Callithrix jacchus: one gene and its partner. The protein of the gene in region 2 binds, or shares a complex with, the protein of the main gene of each other region. Links are inferred from orthologs where the notes say so. Each region holds a gene or a part of one and is shown on either strand. Other genes may lie near its edges.

Region 1 (7,639 bases), on a different chromosome or scaffold from region 2:
GCCACCAAGGCCATCAGCAGCATCAGAAGGTATCTCCTTGGGGAGCCCAAGGTCATGGTCCCTGCAGAGAGGAGCAAGAGAAGTGGAGTAAGAGCTGCAAAATGTGACAGCCGCCAGCCGTGGCTCCCTCCCACCCAGAGGAAATCACAGAGAGTTTTTTTTGGAGGGGAGGCAGGGAGGCCGCCTCCCTACTCCCTGACGCCTGGCTTTGGGGCGGGGCCTGCAGGGGAAGTCCTGGTTCACTTCCCCATGGAAACCATCCTGTTAGAGGTGAAGGGTGGAGAGCCATGTTTAAGTGACTGAGAGCTTGGGGGAACCCCAGCTCTGCACCCCTGCTGCGGAGCTCAGACTGGAGGCAGGTTGGGAGGGCCGCAGGGAGTAACCAGTTGGGGTAGAAGGAGCATCTCTCCAGCAGCTCCCCTTCTGTTCTGTGTCCCTTGCCCACCCCCTCACAGCCTCCACCCCTGCCTACCCTTTCCCAGTGCCCCCCCAGCCCTGGCTGCCTCACACATAAACAGGCTCCTGTCTTCACTTCCTGCCATTCAGGGTCCTGCCAAGTCAGGAACAGGAATCAAGATTGTTTAGATTGGGGTCTGGATAGACCAGACAGGAGTCACGCACAGCCGTGAACTGAGGGCATATTTTCGGGGCAGGCTGCAGCAGCCACAAGGTCTGGAGGGGCTACTTAAATACTTAGTTCCCTGCTTCCCTTAGTTGCTTGTGCCTGGGACACCCACATGACAGAATTCTAGGTGGACATCTTGTGAATCACAAATTCCAGCTCCTTGTTTTCACAGAAGAGAGGATTAAGGCCCATACAGGGAAGAAGACTTGTCTGGGGTCAGACAGGACTCACTGGCACCAGCAGGAGTACAACCCAGGTTTCCAGACTCCTAGTCCCATCCCTACCCAGTGCTGGCAGCCCATGTCTGAGCCCTCAGGGTTGTGACGACCGCGCAAAGCTTGGACGGCGCAGGGTCACGCCACGTGCAGAGGAACCTCTCTGCAGCCTCACAGGAGCATAAGCTCTCTGAGCCGTTCCCTGGCCCCCTTCTCTCTCCTTGCCATCTAGGAAAGGGTGGGGGAGGCCCAGTGATGTGGCAGGGGAAGTGAAACACACTTAGACACTGAATGTTTGACCTTCTATGGCTGACTAGGGTTGAATTTTCCAGAAGTTTGGTGGAGATTGTTGCCTGGAATAATTCTGGTCTAGGATCATCCCCAATCCAGGTCCCACACCAACTAGTGCTTCTGAAGCCACCCAGTCTTCATTTCTCCGAGGTTTAAAACCAGAAGATATGGGTTAAAGCTGCAGCAAGAAGGACCCTGGTCAGACAGCAGCAAGAACTTTCTGAATGGTGGCACATGTGCAGGTGTGTGTGTCTGGGGACTGGATCCTCAGGCACAAGGGAGGAAGACTGTCCTTTGGCATGACGTGGTGAGGCTGGTAGGGCTGGGCATATGGCCACAGAAGCTTCAGAAGGCCTATAGTTTACGAATGGTGCCAAATGAAAACCCAAGACGCTGAGGCGCCGAGGGCAGTATGGCTGGGGGTAGGTGGTGGGGGCTTCTTGGGGCTCTCTAGCTGGTGGCAGCTCTGGCCTTCCTGCCTGGGCTTCCTCTGCCCCAGAGGCCCAGGCTGGGAAAGGAAACAGAGCCCTGGGCTGCTGCAGCTGTGTCCCCAGACTCTGCCTGACCTCCTGCCTCTTGCCCCTCCCGCAGCCAGTGAGGACTCTGGTGAGCACTGTGCGGCGGACTGGAGGTGGGATGGGATGGAGAGAGCGCCCCAGAGGAGCTGAGTCTGCTCACTGGGGTACTAGCAGCAAGCCATCCTTGGCAGCCTGTGCTAGCCCAGGAAGCTGCAAAGGAGAGGGTTTGAGGTGAGAAGAAAAAAGTGACTAACAATAAGGCTCACATCCAGCATCCCTCTAGGACCCTCTGTCCGTACCTCTGCTTCTCTGATGACCATGGCCCTGTCCACCCTCCTTCTACGTTATCACACATCAGAATCACCTGAAGTTCTCAATTAGAAAAGCACATTCACTGGTCTCAACCTCACTCCAGATTCTGATTCAGTCCTGGAACCAGCAAGAAACACACACTTTTTTAGAAGTTCCCCAGGGAGTTCTGCTCCATTTGTGTGGGCACCACTCTTTGAGAAACAGATCCTGCACAACGTGAAGTCTGGTTCCTCTGCTTTCATTTTGCTCTGCAGGGCCCTGCTGGGTAGTGGGAGTGGGATGCAGAGGGAGGGGACACTCACTCCCACCCAGGAACCTCCCCATCTCCTAGAGGAGAAGGGACAGCCGGGGCTAACACCAAAGCCGGGACTTGGTGGCGCTGTGGAGCAAGGCTTGGCTGCGTCTGCAGACCCATCAATGGTCTCATCCTGGGAATATGATGGAGTCAAATTGGAACAGCCCAATGTTTAACTGGGCCCAGTGTGAGGTCAAGTACGGGAGGGTGCTGAGTCCTGACCAGTCCAAACTCAGAGCTGACCCTGTGCAATTTGCCCTGAAACCTGACCGTAGCACAAACAGACTCCTGGGGTCTGGCGGGATCCTTTCACTTCTGAGCAAAACTTTGAGAAAAATCGCCTGCTGACAGAAGCATCACTGTTGTTGGCCAGAAATTACAAACGTTAAACTAATTTCAAACATTAGCTAAACACCATGAAATAATAACAGTTAACCTTCTCTGAGTACTAATTATGTGCTAAGTACTGAACTTTAATGGTTTATCTGATTTGATCATTGCAACAATCCAATGGGGGAAACTGAGGCTCGAAGATGTTAAGTCTCTTGCCTATAGTCACCAAGCGTGTCTTAATAAAGTTAAATTGCTGATAAATCCTTCCTTGGTTGTTGTTATTCCTCCAATTGTTTAGATGAATCCCTCGAAGGAAGAAAAAGACGTGGGTTTTGGTGGACACAAACAAATTGTCCGCTGCTGTTATTAACAGATGCCCTACTTAGATTTGTTTAAATGCAGACAGTGTTTTTGTTTGTTTTTAATTTTTCTTGAGACAGGGTCTTGCTCAGTCACCCAAGCTGGACTACAATGGTATAGTCATAGCTCACTGCAGCCTTGAACTCCTGGGCTCAAGTGAGCCTCCCACCTCAGCCTCCCAAGTAGCTAGGACTACAGGGGTGCAGCACCATGCCCAGTTAATCTTTTACTTTTTGGTAGAGACAGGGTCTCACTATGTTGCCCCAGGCAACAAAGATGGGTTGCTGCCTAGAAATCATCTGATTGCCATAGGCTTCGTCAAAGTTTGAGCCTCAGGTGGGGGGAGCCAGAGTAGTGGCATGCCTTAAAGTTGCTTATCCACCTTTTTCTCCGCAGCACACCTGAAGGACCCACTCCCATCAGTGGCAGTGGCTCAGCACAGCAGTGATTGTCACAGGGCTGGAGAAGCACCATGTCAAGCACAAGCTTCTGGGCTCACTCTGCACTTCAGTAGACCTTATCCCAACAGCAGAGGACCAGACCCAGCTGTTCATATTGGGTTTCCCTCACAATTCATCCATGTGATTTATTAGCCCCTCACAGCAGGGTGATGCAGCAGAACAAGGCTGGAGTTTCAGGTCTCAGGCAGACCACAGGGGCAGCACAGTATAGCACAGAGGTTAAGGTGTAGGCTTTGGACCATGGAGGCTTAGGTTCAAGTCCTGCCTTTGCCACTTAGAGGTATGAGATTTGAGACAAGTTACTTAAACTTTCTGAGGCTAAGGCTTCCCATCATATGTAAAATGGGAATAATAACAGTGTTATCTCATAGGTAAAATGTAGTAAGATTATTTAGCAGAGTACTAAGTAGTACACAGTAAGCACTTAAATGTTATCAAGACCCCAACCATGCCATTTACCCCACTATCCAAGGAGCTTCGGAGAAGTTATTCAAGTCTGTTTCCTTTCTGTAGGATGGGCATAGTAACCCCTTTTCCACTAGGTTGTGGCCAGGATTACATGAGAAAAAACATATCTAAGTGTTTACTAGTAAGTAATCAATCAATGATAGCTATTTCTAACAAACCAATGAAATGGGAGGACAGGCGAATGGACAGGTATTAGGACAGACCCTGACTCAGCCAGCAGGTGCCCATCAATAGAGAGGGTGAGAGCAATTGTCCATGATGCCCCCATCCTTGGAGAAGGAAAGAGGAGCTGGGGCAGCCAGACCAGCCATGGGTTTCGCCGCACTGGCCTCCAGGACAGGTGGGAAATCTGGGGTCCCAGCCTGGAGGGAGACTGGGATCGCCTTTGGCTGGGATCCTGAAGGAAGGCCGTGGCATGGAGATGACCTGAGGATGCAGGGCTGGGGTGAGGCTCGTGGATTGTAGTGATAGTGTCAGATTCCTGAAGCAAACAGCTGCAAGGGCTGGTCTGGGAAAGGTGAGCTCTGCGGGGAGGCTCACCAGCTGTGGACGCGGGCATTCACTCCAGGTCCACCCAGAGGCCTGGCAGAACGTGTGATCCCTTCTATGTGAGTAGAGCAAGACATGAATCCCTCTGCGCATTTTATGGAGAGGGTAGGAGAATAGAGAAGTGATGTGACTGAAGCCAGGTCACCCGACTAGAGCCAAGTTTCTGATTTCCAGTCCGGTCTCGTCCAGCTCCCTCCAAGTCTCAGGTAGGGTCACCGGCAGCTGTGCGCAGTCAGCCAGGGGCAGCTTGCGTTCCTGATGACCTGGGACTGATCCTACTGCGACCACTCTGCGGGGACTCGGGTCCGCCCGAAGGAAGGGCCCACGGAAGCGGGGGTGAGGCCGCCCGCCACCCGGTCCCGCCCGCGGACCTCGACTCACCTCTGGGCCCGCTCTGCTGGTGGCGGGGCGCGAGCCTGCCGGCCGGGGCCACCTCCCCTCCACCGCGCGGCCACGGGTGCACGGCGAAAGCTGGACGGCGGGCCGGGTCCGGGCGCGGCTGGAACCGGGGAGGGGCTGGCTCGGCGCCGCTGGCCCTGCGGCCTCCCGGGACTGGAAAGGGGGCTGGAGCAAAAATATTTCTTATTCCAGCGTCTTCCTGCCTGGCCCGGCTCCACCACTCCCTCTTAATAAACCGTTTCCTTATTGCCCAACTCGCTGACTGGCCGCCGCTCGCCCCTCGCTGGGGCTGCAGGACCAAGACCCTCCCCCGCGCCGCTCCCAGCCCCCCGGCGCGGCCGCCCCTCCCAGCCGCCCGCAGCTCCTGGATCCGCTGACCCGCGCCGGGAGCCAAGCCTCCCACATCCGCCTCCCCGAGGGGGCGGGCCTTGGACTCGGTCCGTGAGGGTCCCGTGGGGGTCCCGTGGGGTCTGCGCCCACAGCTGTGGGAGCTAGAGCCAAGACTGTAGGCAACGTCTGGCGGCGGGAGTAGTGGGTGGGGGTAAAGGGCGGTCGGCTCACAGTAGCCAAGGGGCTGCCTGGAATCGGGGCGCGGGGAAGGGGCCACCAAGGAAGGGAGAGGCCGGGGTGGGACAGGGAGGGACACTACCTGTCCTTACCCCACCCTCAGTCCGGGGTCCTCGGTCTAGGAGGCTCGGAGCAGTGAGCGTAGAGTTTGGAGCTAGCAAAAGTTCAGATAAATTTTGGCTCCGCTCTCGAGAACTCCCTATTTGGCCCAAATCCTTCAGTCTCCTCCCTCAGGCCCCTTCATCCCCCATTTGTCCCCTCCTCTCTTCAGCAGCCTCTCCCCATTGGTGCTCAGCACAGGGGTATACAGGCCCAGAGGGAAGGCCTGGGGTTAGCCCTGAGGATGGTTGGTGCCCTTCCTTGCTGCTGTGCAGCTGGGTGACAAAGACACCCCTGCTCCCCCACGGACAGTCAGAATGGAGAAACACGTTGGGAGCTGCCTTGGACCTTCCCCTTCCAGGCGGGGCCCCCACCCCAGCAAATGGAACTTTAGATAGAGGTGGGGAACTGGGCCTCTCTGGAATACTGCTGACACAAGGCAGCTGGGGAGGGAAGCAGAATGGCTTCACACTGGCAGGGGAGGGGGACACAGACTCTTCCTCCTGGTGCCCCTGCACCGGCTGGGAGCACTGTCCTTACTGCCTTGCTTTGCTGCAACCGTCTGAGCACCTGCAGGACCCTGACCTTAGTCCTAGCCTCCTGGTTATCCACAGGGACTCTGAAGTCAAACTACCTACTAGGAATCCAGGCTGGTTGTGTTACCGTAGGCTAGTGAGCTAGTGACACCTCTCCATGCTTCAGTCCCCCATCTGCTAAATAGGCATAGTAAACGGTGCCAGCCTCATAGGGTGGTTGTGAGAATAGAAGGAAATGATGCTTATCTCAGCTCATGGCAAAGATGCTGGCTGGCTGAGCCTGACTCAGAGGAGGCCCTCAATGAAGGCATTTGTTAATTAAATGAATAAATGAAAAGGCTGGGGAGGGGGTGGCCTCAAAGATACTTAGAAAGATGTGGGTATTAGAAGCAGGAGTAGGTGGACCTCTAAGGTGTCTTGCTCTAATATGGGGATTCTGCAAGATGAGCCAGGGACCCCTCCCCCACCGACTTTTGACAGGAATAGAGGCTGGGGGAGATAATGGCTAAAGGCTCAGGCAGGCATCAATTATTGACTGACCTCACTTCCTCTGCTGAAGCCCCACCCCCCACCCTGCAGCTGCTTCACAAGTTGTGAATTCCCAGAACCCTGACACACCCAAATTTCAGTGTCAGGACAGAACTGTGTCCTGAGGCCAATAGGAAGTACTATGGGATTACGATATCTGCTCTTTCAGATTATAGTGGCCACTTGGGATCTCTATGAGCTGGAGAACTGGGAGCCTGGCTGCAGGTCTGTCTTTCACACTCCCTCCCTCCCCCTGCTCTGCTATGGCTTCTGGTCAACCTTTTCCTCTCCCAGCTGGTGAATCTCTGTCCTGGGAAGCGAGAGTGGGGGCTTCCAGAGGGAAGTTTTCAGTCTGAGAGGCACACTGAGCACAGAAACTTCAAGATGGACAACAGCTGAGAGTCACTTCTGACAGTCAGTGCGGGATGGAAGACTATCTGGACAGAGTTTGTGAAATAGATAAAAATAGAGTACATTTTGGGAGCTGGAAGAGAGGACCTGGGGGGCTGGGGACTGTTCATCAGTGCTGGAGTCTCCCCCACCTCCCCGGAGCACTAAGGCCTCTGGACCCTGACTGGTGCTCTTTGAGGCTCTTGTGAACCCCATGGCTTCTAAAGCACACAGAGATCCTGGGGGAAGTGTCAGAGTTAGAGACTCAGAGTTGGAGAAAGCGCTGGAGAATCATCCCAATGAGAAAAGGGAAAAGGAATTACGGAGTGTGTCCAAGTCTACAAGAATTAATGACTCAGAGGGACCAGCTGTTCCCCATATTCAATGAGGACAGAACAAGAGGAAACAGGCCCAAAGGACGAAGATTTAGATTTAGATACTCAGAAGGATTTCCCAACAGTGCCGGAAGCAGAGGCCTGGAGATTCTGTGTGGGGTGAAACTTCAGAAGATTCTCATCAGTGGAAGGCGGGTGACATGAATCTGTCAGGAAGGCAGGGCAATGGACACCTTGACCTTTCAGGACCAGCTATGAGTATTACGTTCAAGGATCATTCTTTTTTTTTTTTTTTTTTTGAGACAAAATCTCACAGTTTCACCCAGGCTGGAGTGCAGTGGTGTGTTAAATACAGTGA
Region 2 (7,751 bases):
AGGTCAATAAGACAGCCATAAACCAAGAAGGTCACAGCAGTCGATTTTGAGTATATGGTCCTCTGTAAAGAGGAATGGGAGAAAATGAATCCTGGAACTAGAGTGGTTGCCTTAGTCTTATACCCCTAGCACTACTCTTATACCCCTAGCACCTGGCATGAAGTATGGTACATACAACTCACTCAAGAATGTTTATGAAACAACTCTGTAAAAGTCTTAGAAGCACACTTCTAATCTTAGTCTTGGAAGCATACCTCCAAATACTGTCATGTTGACTTCCTATCTGAAGTTACAGTGAGCCCAAAGCTTCTGCATACTTGTCTCAGGTAATGAGCATATAAGGAAGCCCTGAAGGCATTTGCCATCAGATTCTCAAAGGGATCCACAGCACCAAAGATGCTAAGGACCACCAATTTAGAAATTCTCTGTCATCTTTGGCAGCATTTCACCAAGTATATACTTAATTCATGATCTCAGTGAGTCCCTGTTGCAGATTATAATCTTTTAATATTTTCCTTTAACTTGCTCTGATTATTTTGCACTTATTATCTATTTTAGACTTATCCTAAGCAACATCATTCATAAAAGGAGAGATTTGAGGTGATACTTATGTGTGTTTGCTAAAATCCACATGAAATGATTTCACATAATTAATAGCTTTCTATGGGTACCACCTAAAATCATCTTACACATTGTCAGTGGGAAATGCTAACCTACTGAATGAATTTAAACTCCCTGGCATGGCTCTCAAGGTCAGCTATATCTGGGTCTTAGCCTCCAGATCAGCCATGGCTTCCATAAATGCATGGAACATTGTGATCACTCAATAATATTTGTGAACAATTGAATGGATTTGTAAACCCTTCTGTTTCAACTACATTGACATCTTTACCACCTGTCAAACATTCTTTTTTCCCCTGTAATTTTCACCTTTTCACATGTTCTTCTGACCCTTGGAAAGCCCTTTCACCTCACCTCCACCTATCCAACTCTGACATCTATAAAAGCCTCCCTTCCTTACTTCTCTTTCTGAAAGTTCCCTCCCTCCCCTCTGAATCACTTGAGCACTTTATATCTCCTTTGATCCTTGTCATTTACAACCTTGTATTTCAGTCATCTTTTTATGAATGGATTTTCCCAACTAGACTCCCATCCTCCTGGTATGAATGGCTCAAAACTCCCTTCTATGTCTCTATCCTACTATAAGGGCTTAAACAGAGGTAGTGCTTTAAAAATATTGATTAGCTGATGATTTTAGGCATCAGATTAAATTGATTTATGGGCATGACATATGACCTTAATCCATCATCAAGCTCTTAAGTCAGTGGCTTAGGATTTATTCTCCCAGTCTAAGAAGGGAGGAGACTTGTCTCCCCATGGACAGGGAACATGAGAAGACCCAAAATGGAGGAATAGGCTGGTTGTTCTACCCAGGAGAGAAGTATAGAATAAAAGCTCACTGTAGTAGGAGGAAGGCAGTAAAGCATACAAGGAAGCTTTTGGTGCTAATGGATAAATTCATGATCTTGATTGTGCTGATGATTTCAATGAATGTTTACAGAGGTCAAAACCTTTCCAATTATACACTTTAAATATGTACAATTATACTTTTATACATCAATATTTTTATATGTCTTATTTTCTATAAGTAAATTATGCCTCAATAAAACTGTTTTGAAAAAGTAAGTTCACTGGGAAGTTTTGTGAATGTGCAAATGCAGTAAGCAGTAAATGGAAGAGTTACATTTCAGGGCAAGAGAACTAATGTTTGTTGACAAATTTCTCATGCCAGGTGCTTTGCAAGCATGATCTTCTCTGGTTCTCACAATGACCCCACAATGCAGGTATTGATTCTCTACCCATTTTGCACCAGAAGAAATCAAGCCCTGATGCAGAGAACTGACTTCCCCAGATGACAAGGTGATAAAGGAACAGTGCTAGGAATTGAGGGCATGCTTTTTTCACATTGGAGGTGGCACTTTTTTCCCAAGATGAGATAGGTTTTGACTTTTTTTTTTTTTTGTCTTTGTCTCCTAGGGAGCTGCATTAAGCAGACCCAAAGAGTCAGAAAAGAGGCAATAGTAGCTAGCAAGGCATGCCCTGTGCAGTGATTTCTGTCCTCAGGCTGCACAGTTGTTTACTGGAGATGTGTTCCTGCCCTCAATAATCTCCAGGATTAATAAGTACAGTAAACTCCAGATACTGACCTGAGTTATCCAGATACTCTTTGAGAGAAGTAGGAACTGAAAACTTTTCTACTTTTCTGGGGATGCAAATAACATTTTCTCACCCATACCCTAGTTCACCTGAACCAGACACTTAGGGCTCAGTTTTGAGAAGTATTGGGGTGGGGGGGATTCTCACAGGAGGAGGTTATTCATTTTCAATTCAGACTCACCTCCAAAAGGAATCTGTAATCTCAGCTTGCCATTTCCATGAGAAAGATGTTATGAAATAGAACTTTTGGCGGCCAACTCAATTTTAAAGGCAAACAACATCTTAGGGACTAAGGAATACCCACTCAGCATTTATTCCAGCAGCTAGAATATTAAGTAACTCATTAGTAATCACTGAAGTTTGATCAGCACTTCATAGCAAATGGAGTACTTTCTTACCTGTAACCTCTTTTGAATCACTCAACTTTTTTATGCAGGTATTATTACCCCCGCTTTACAGATGAGGAAATTGAGAGTCTGAGACATGAGCTAATTATTCACAACCACTAAGCCAACCAGCTCTCAAAATTCCATATCCTGAGCTGTTTCTTCACCACTGCCTTTCTTCTTTCAAGAACATCTGGCCAATATTAATCAGAAGCCTCTTTTGTACCTGGTTAGTGACTATAATGGTATAATTGGCAAATATTAAAGAATTAGTTATTTGGACCTTCAGCTTCTATCATAGGTATCTAGATATCAGGATTTTCTTTCCCCTGATAGGATCAAATTAAGCTATTAAGAAAAAAAATTAACTCATTAGATTTAGCTACCAAATTTAAACACCTAGGAGAAGAAAACACACTTTTCTCACCAATAATTCAATCTTGTACATCACTCTTCATGAAGATGGAAATGATGAGCTGGATGATTAATGGGCCAATCACACTTCCTGGAAACTGTAAACAGTGCTTTAAGGATGTACATGACACATCAAACAACACAGCCTTAGGAAGAATCTCTAAAATATATTTCCATACTGTTTGAACATTTCTTAAACAACATCACAAAATAAAAACATCAAAAGTTTGAACAAAACACACATCACAACTTGATGTTTTTTGACTGTTTTTATTCTTTTTATTCTAAGTGGAAGTTGAGAAATTTTTTAGTTAATTAAACACCTAGGCAACCAAGGCCTATCTGGAAAATGGCAAAGATACGGCAACATTAATGCTTTGTATTACTTGGTGTTCAAATTAACATTTTTTAAAAGAACCCAATTATAATGTCAAATTGATAGGTGTTTTGTGGCTTTGGGTTGTTTGTAAAAGATGTTTGTAAGTATTTTTGAGGTTCTGAAATGACTGCATAAATAGTATAGACCAAATCGTACCTTGTTTTTGTGTATCCATATGTATTTAACATCCTTATATAGATGTATTTACCTTTACCTATATCATTCCCAGGCATTGTAAATTTACTTATTGTGTCTTGAAAAAATTCCAAGCCAAATTTCATCAGCAAAAACTTACCTTCATTCTTGAAACTCCTAATGATGTTGGCAGAGGGCATGGAGGTTCGATCTGTTGCAAATTTGTTATAGAGTTCCAGCATGTACTCTGGTGGGTCTACCTTGGCTGAATCCTCCGTGGGGATGTCAGACAGGTTTAGTGTCTTGAGAAACTCATTCTTCATGCTCTGGAGCAATGTGCTAAAGTCAACACCATCTTGCTCTGAGAAAACATCATCAAAGAGGGGCACATCTTCTTCTAGAGGAGACTGGTCTAGGCTCATGATGGGGCTGCCAGAAACCAAGTGAGCCACCAGGCAGAGAAGAGTGCACAGTGTCAGGACCGGAGAGCCCATGACTCCGCTCAAGCCCCTAGGCCAAGCCAGGAAGGTTTAGCTCTCCTGGGCTCTAAGTGGCAGTTTTATCTTGTGGGGCGTAATTGTCTCCTGTCACTGGAGACAAGTTTGGAAACTCTTCCTCTCTCTCTTCCTCCCCCTACCACTCTTCCTCTCCCCCTAAAAGTCAGGTTGCAGTAATTGGATAACAAAATCCCCTATAGGGGCCTAGCCTTTCTTATCTCCCTAGTGTAAACTTGTGCACCAGAATTTGTTTCTATCTTGTAATCCCTATTTCTTTTAATGAGCATTTTGTAAACATTTTCACATTCTGACACTGGTTGAAAGATAGGACAATTTTCTCCTTGCAAAGGCTCTGCTTCTCTTCCCTTTGATTCACTTCCTTTCAGCAGGAATGTCTAAATTCCGTTTTTATAGGCTTAGTTTCACACATACATATAATAGGTATAAGAAGCAACATAATGCACATCAGTTAATAGGTATAAGAAGCAACATAATGCACATCAGTGGTGATACATATCAATTTGAGTGGTAGGGCCTACATCCTCAAATAAATACTTCTGAAGACAGATCAAATGTCCAAACTTTCATTCAGCTATAAATGAATTTATATAAATTTTTCCAAGCATTCATTTTTAGAAACAAGAAAGTATAAACTTTATGATCCATAGTCTCTTTCCTACCTATTTGATCTGGCTAAAATGGCATTTGAAAAATAGGGCAAGTCCTTAATTATAGTGGCAACTAAAATTTAGTAGATGTTCCTACAATCAGGCATTGTACTGAGTGCTTTACGTCTATCGTCTAGCATGCTCCTGCAATAACCCTATCACTATCTCCATCACATATATGGGTCAGTAAGGTTCCATAGATTGCCAGAGGCCAAAAAGTTGTAAGATGATGGAGCCACTGTTTGAACCAAGGCAGTCTGATTCTGATGAAAAAGAAAACAGTTCACACCTTTAAACCACTTATATTTCACCAGACTAGGGCATGGGCAATAATGGTGAGAGGCCAACCCATCCCCAGATCAGCCTGGAGGCAGGAGGCAGACAGCAGTTTGCAGCTGGATGTGTACCTCAGGTCCTCCACCTGTGCAAAGAATTCTTAATATGACCAGCATCTCTGCCAACTTCGTCCTTCTGACTCAATCAGAATTGTCATCTAGAGGCTCCAGCAAAAGCTTGGTGTGATGGTTAATACTGATTGTCAACTTGATTGGATTGCAAGATGCAAAATATTGATCCTGGGTTTGTCTGTGAGGGCGTTGCCAAAGAAGATTGACATTTGAGTCAGTGGGCTGGGGAAGGCAGACCCACCCTTAATCTGGGTGGGCATCATCTAATCAGCCACCAGTGAGGCTAGAATATAAAGCAGGCAGAAAAATGTGAAAAGACTAGACTGGCCTAACCACCCAGCCTACATTTTTGTCCTGTGCTGGATGCTTCCTGCTCTCAAACATCAGATTCCAAGTTCTTCAATTTTGAGACTTGGACTGGCTCTCCTTGCTCCTCAGCTTGTGCACAGCCTATTGTGGGACCTTGTGATCGTGTGAGTTAATACTTAATAAACTCCCATATATATGTGTGTGTGTGTGTGTGTGTGTGTGTGTGTGTGTGTGTGTGTGTGTGGACGTTGAGTCAAATCTCTGTCCCTCTAGAGAACTCTGACTAATACACTTCGCAAACATTACCAGGCACACAAAAAATGCCAAATGCCTTGGTCCTAAAAATTTTTTAATGGTATAGTTGATTGTGTGTACAGATTAGGAAAGACAAATCAGGTTCATCACATTTTCCACCCTAACTAGTGACAGTAGCAGCCGTGGTACAGCCAGAGTGGCCCTGTGGACAACCCCAGGGGATGTTTCTCCCCCTGAGGTGGTAGTACTGGTATCTTTCTGACTTGCCCAGTGCGCACCCTGTTCCATTACTGATACATCCTGTGCTGTTCAGAGGGCTCTGTGGAGATACTCAGTTCACTGGAATGCTTTCTCAGTTTCTATCTTAAATTATCCTATGTTGATTCTAATTGATTAGCTACAATGTTTCCACTTGGCTTTTCCTCCAGGCTCCCTTAGGTTTCTAGTCATCTTCTGATTCTTTTTCCTCCTAAAATGTACAGTGTTACAGCCATTTTTTTATCACCATAGAAAGAACCATATTTTGTTTAGTAGCTATTAATTGTCCATTTGTTTAATAGCTGTTGATTTTGGTTTAATGTTCGATTTTGATTCAAACTTTTGCTCCCGTAGTGAAAAGACAACTGTAGACTGGAGACAGATTATATCCTGAATAGTCCCACAAGTGAGTGAGTCCAAGGGCCAGAAGCCTTCCCTCGGATGGTTTGTTTTAACATGAGGTTCCTGACAGCATACCAACAATGCCTTGTATCATGTCTTGCATCCAAGTAAGCACCCATTTATCTTTATACACACACAGATGTCAACGCACACTCCAAAACTCTGAATGTCAGGCATGTGTGTGTAACTGCCACAGGACAGCTGTGTAAGTGGAGGCACATATAACCTCTGAGCACACTGATTTCAAAGGTCATAGGGAGAGACATACATCCCACATTGCAGAGTTCTAGTTCTTGACGCTCTTGGGCATAAAAACGTTAACTGAGACTTCAGTGGCTTACCTATACTTGGTGTTAGAAAAACTAAAGGGTTAAATATTTGGATCCATGTTTATCTTTGGGGATGATTAAGAGATACAGTGGGGAAATGACTATAGCCATAGGAAAATGACTATAGCCATATATCAGATATCGCAAGATATCAGAATATCATGAGATGCATGCTCGGTGAAGGTTCTTAAACCCACACCTGTGCTGGGTGGACAAGGAAAGAGGTTGGCTTCATGCTTGGAAGAAGGGGACATACTCTCCCTCCTTCTTCTAGGCCTGGGACACCTCACATCTTAGTCACAGAGTCTCTTTATGCCATGTTTTTCTCTAGAAGCTTTTTCTGATGACTCTTTTTTTTTTTTTTTTTTTTTTGAGGCAGAGTTTCGCTCTTGTTACCCAGGCTGGAGTTCAATGGCACGATCTTGGCTCACTGCAACGTCCACCTCCTGGGTTCAGGCAATTCTCCTGCCTTAGCCTCCTGAGTAGCTGGGATTACAGACACATGCCACCATGCCCAGCTAATTTTTTGTATTTTTAGTAGAGACAGGGTTTCACCATGTTGACCAGGATGGTCTCGATCTCTTGACCTCATGATCCACCCGCCTCTGCCTCCCAAAGCGCTGGGATTACAGGCTTGAGCCACCGCGCCCAGCCTTCTGATGACTCTCATCTGACTCTAAAAGGTCCAAATGTCTTCACATTCCTATCCCTATTTTGATCTTTCTGGATGCAATTCATTCTGTTCTTTCACACTTATCTCATTATTTTGCATCCTTCTCATTTGGAATGTTTTACAGTTCATTCAGAGTGGATGGGGATTACAGTTTTGTGAGCCAAAGATGTCAAAGCTATGTTTAAATGTTTTAAAAAGAACCCATACATGTGGAAAGCAAAATATTAATTATACATTATGTCTTTCGACCCCACTGGAAAATGCTCCAGAACCTCTGATTTGCAAAGTTCTGGGCCAATTTTTGAAACCAGTTCCATAACTGTACAAACTTGAAGGATCTAACATTGAATTTCATTGAGCTATCAAAGGGATCTGGGATCCAGACATGATCAGAGCCACTGAACAGCATCCTGATGAATTCT

The links. The genes of interacting proteins can lie anywhere in the genome.
Region 1: the proteins of BMP10 (region 2) and ACVRL1 are in contact, whole or in part, in a crystal structure (PDB 6SF1), measured with the Homo sapiens proteins. The link is inferred for Callithrix jacchus from reciprocal best matches to the Homo sapiens genes BMP10 and ACVRL1. Residues at the interface, in NP_055297.1 of Homo sapiens: Tyr322, Asn357, Tyr358, Pro359, Ala361, Glu362, His363, Pro366, Thr367, Lys368, Ile371, Leu375, Leu378, Lys379, Ser381, Lys386; in NP_000011.2 of Homo sapiens: His40, Val54, Val56, Arg57, Glu58, Glu59, His66, Gly70, Asn71, Leu72, His73, Glu75, Leu76, Phe84, Val85, His87.

The regions. Positions count from the first base shown.
Region 1 is NC_133510.1:67,565,380-67,573,018, forward strand, and holds the start of ACVRL1 (activin receptor type-1-like), read right to left. Parts: upstream 4,982-7,639; 5' UTR 4,809-4,981; intron 62-4,808; 5' UTR 57-61; coding exon 1-56. UniProt on the Homo sapiens protein: Type I receptor for TGF-beta family ligands BMP9/GDF2 and BMP10 and important regulator of normal blood vessel development. On ligand binding, forms a receptor complex consisting of two type II and two type I transmembrane serine/threonine kinases.
Region 2 is NC_133515.1:45,060,471-45,068,221, reverse strand, and holds the start of BMP10 (bone morphogenetic protein 10), read right to left. Parts: upstream 4,064-7,751; 5' UTR 4,026-4,063; coding exon 3,692-4,025; intron 1-3,691. UniProt on the Homo sapiens protein: Required for maintaining the proliferative activity of embryonic cardiomyocytes by preventing premature activation of the negative cell cycle regulator CDKN1C/p57KIP and maintaining the required expression levels of cardiogenic factors such as MEF2C and NKX2-5.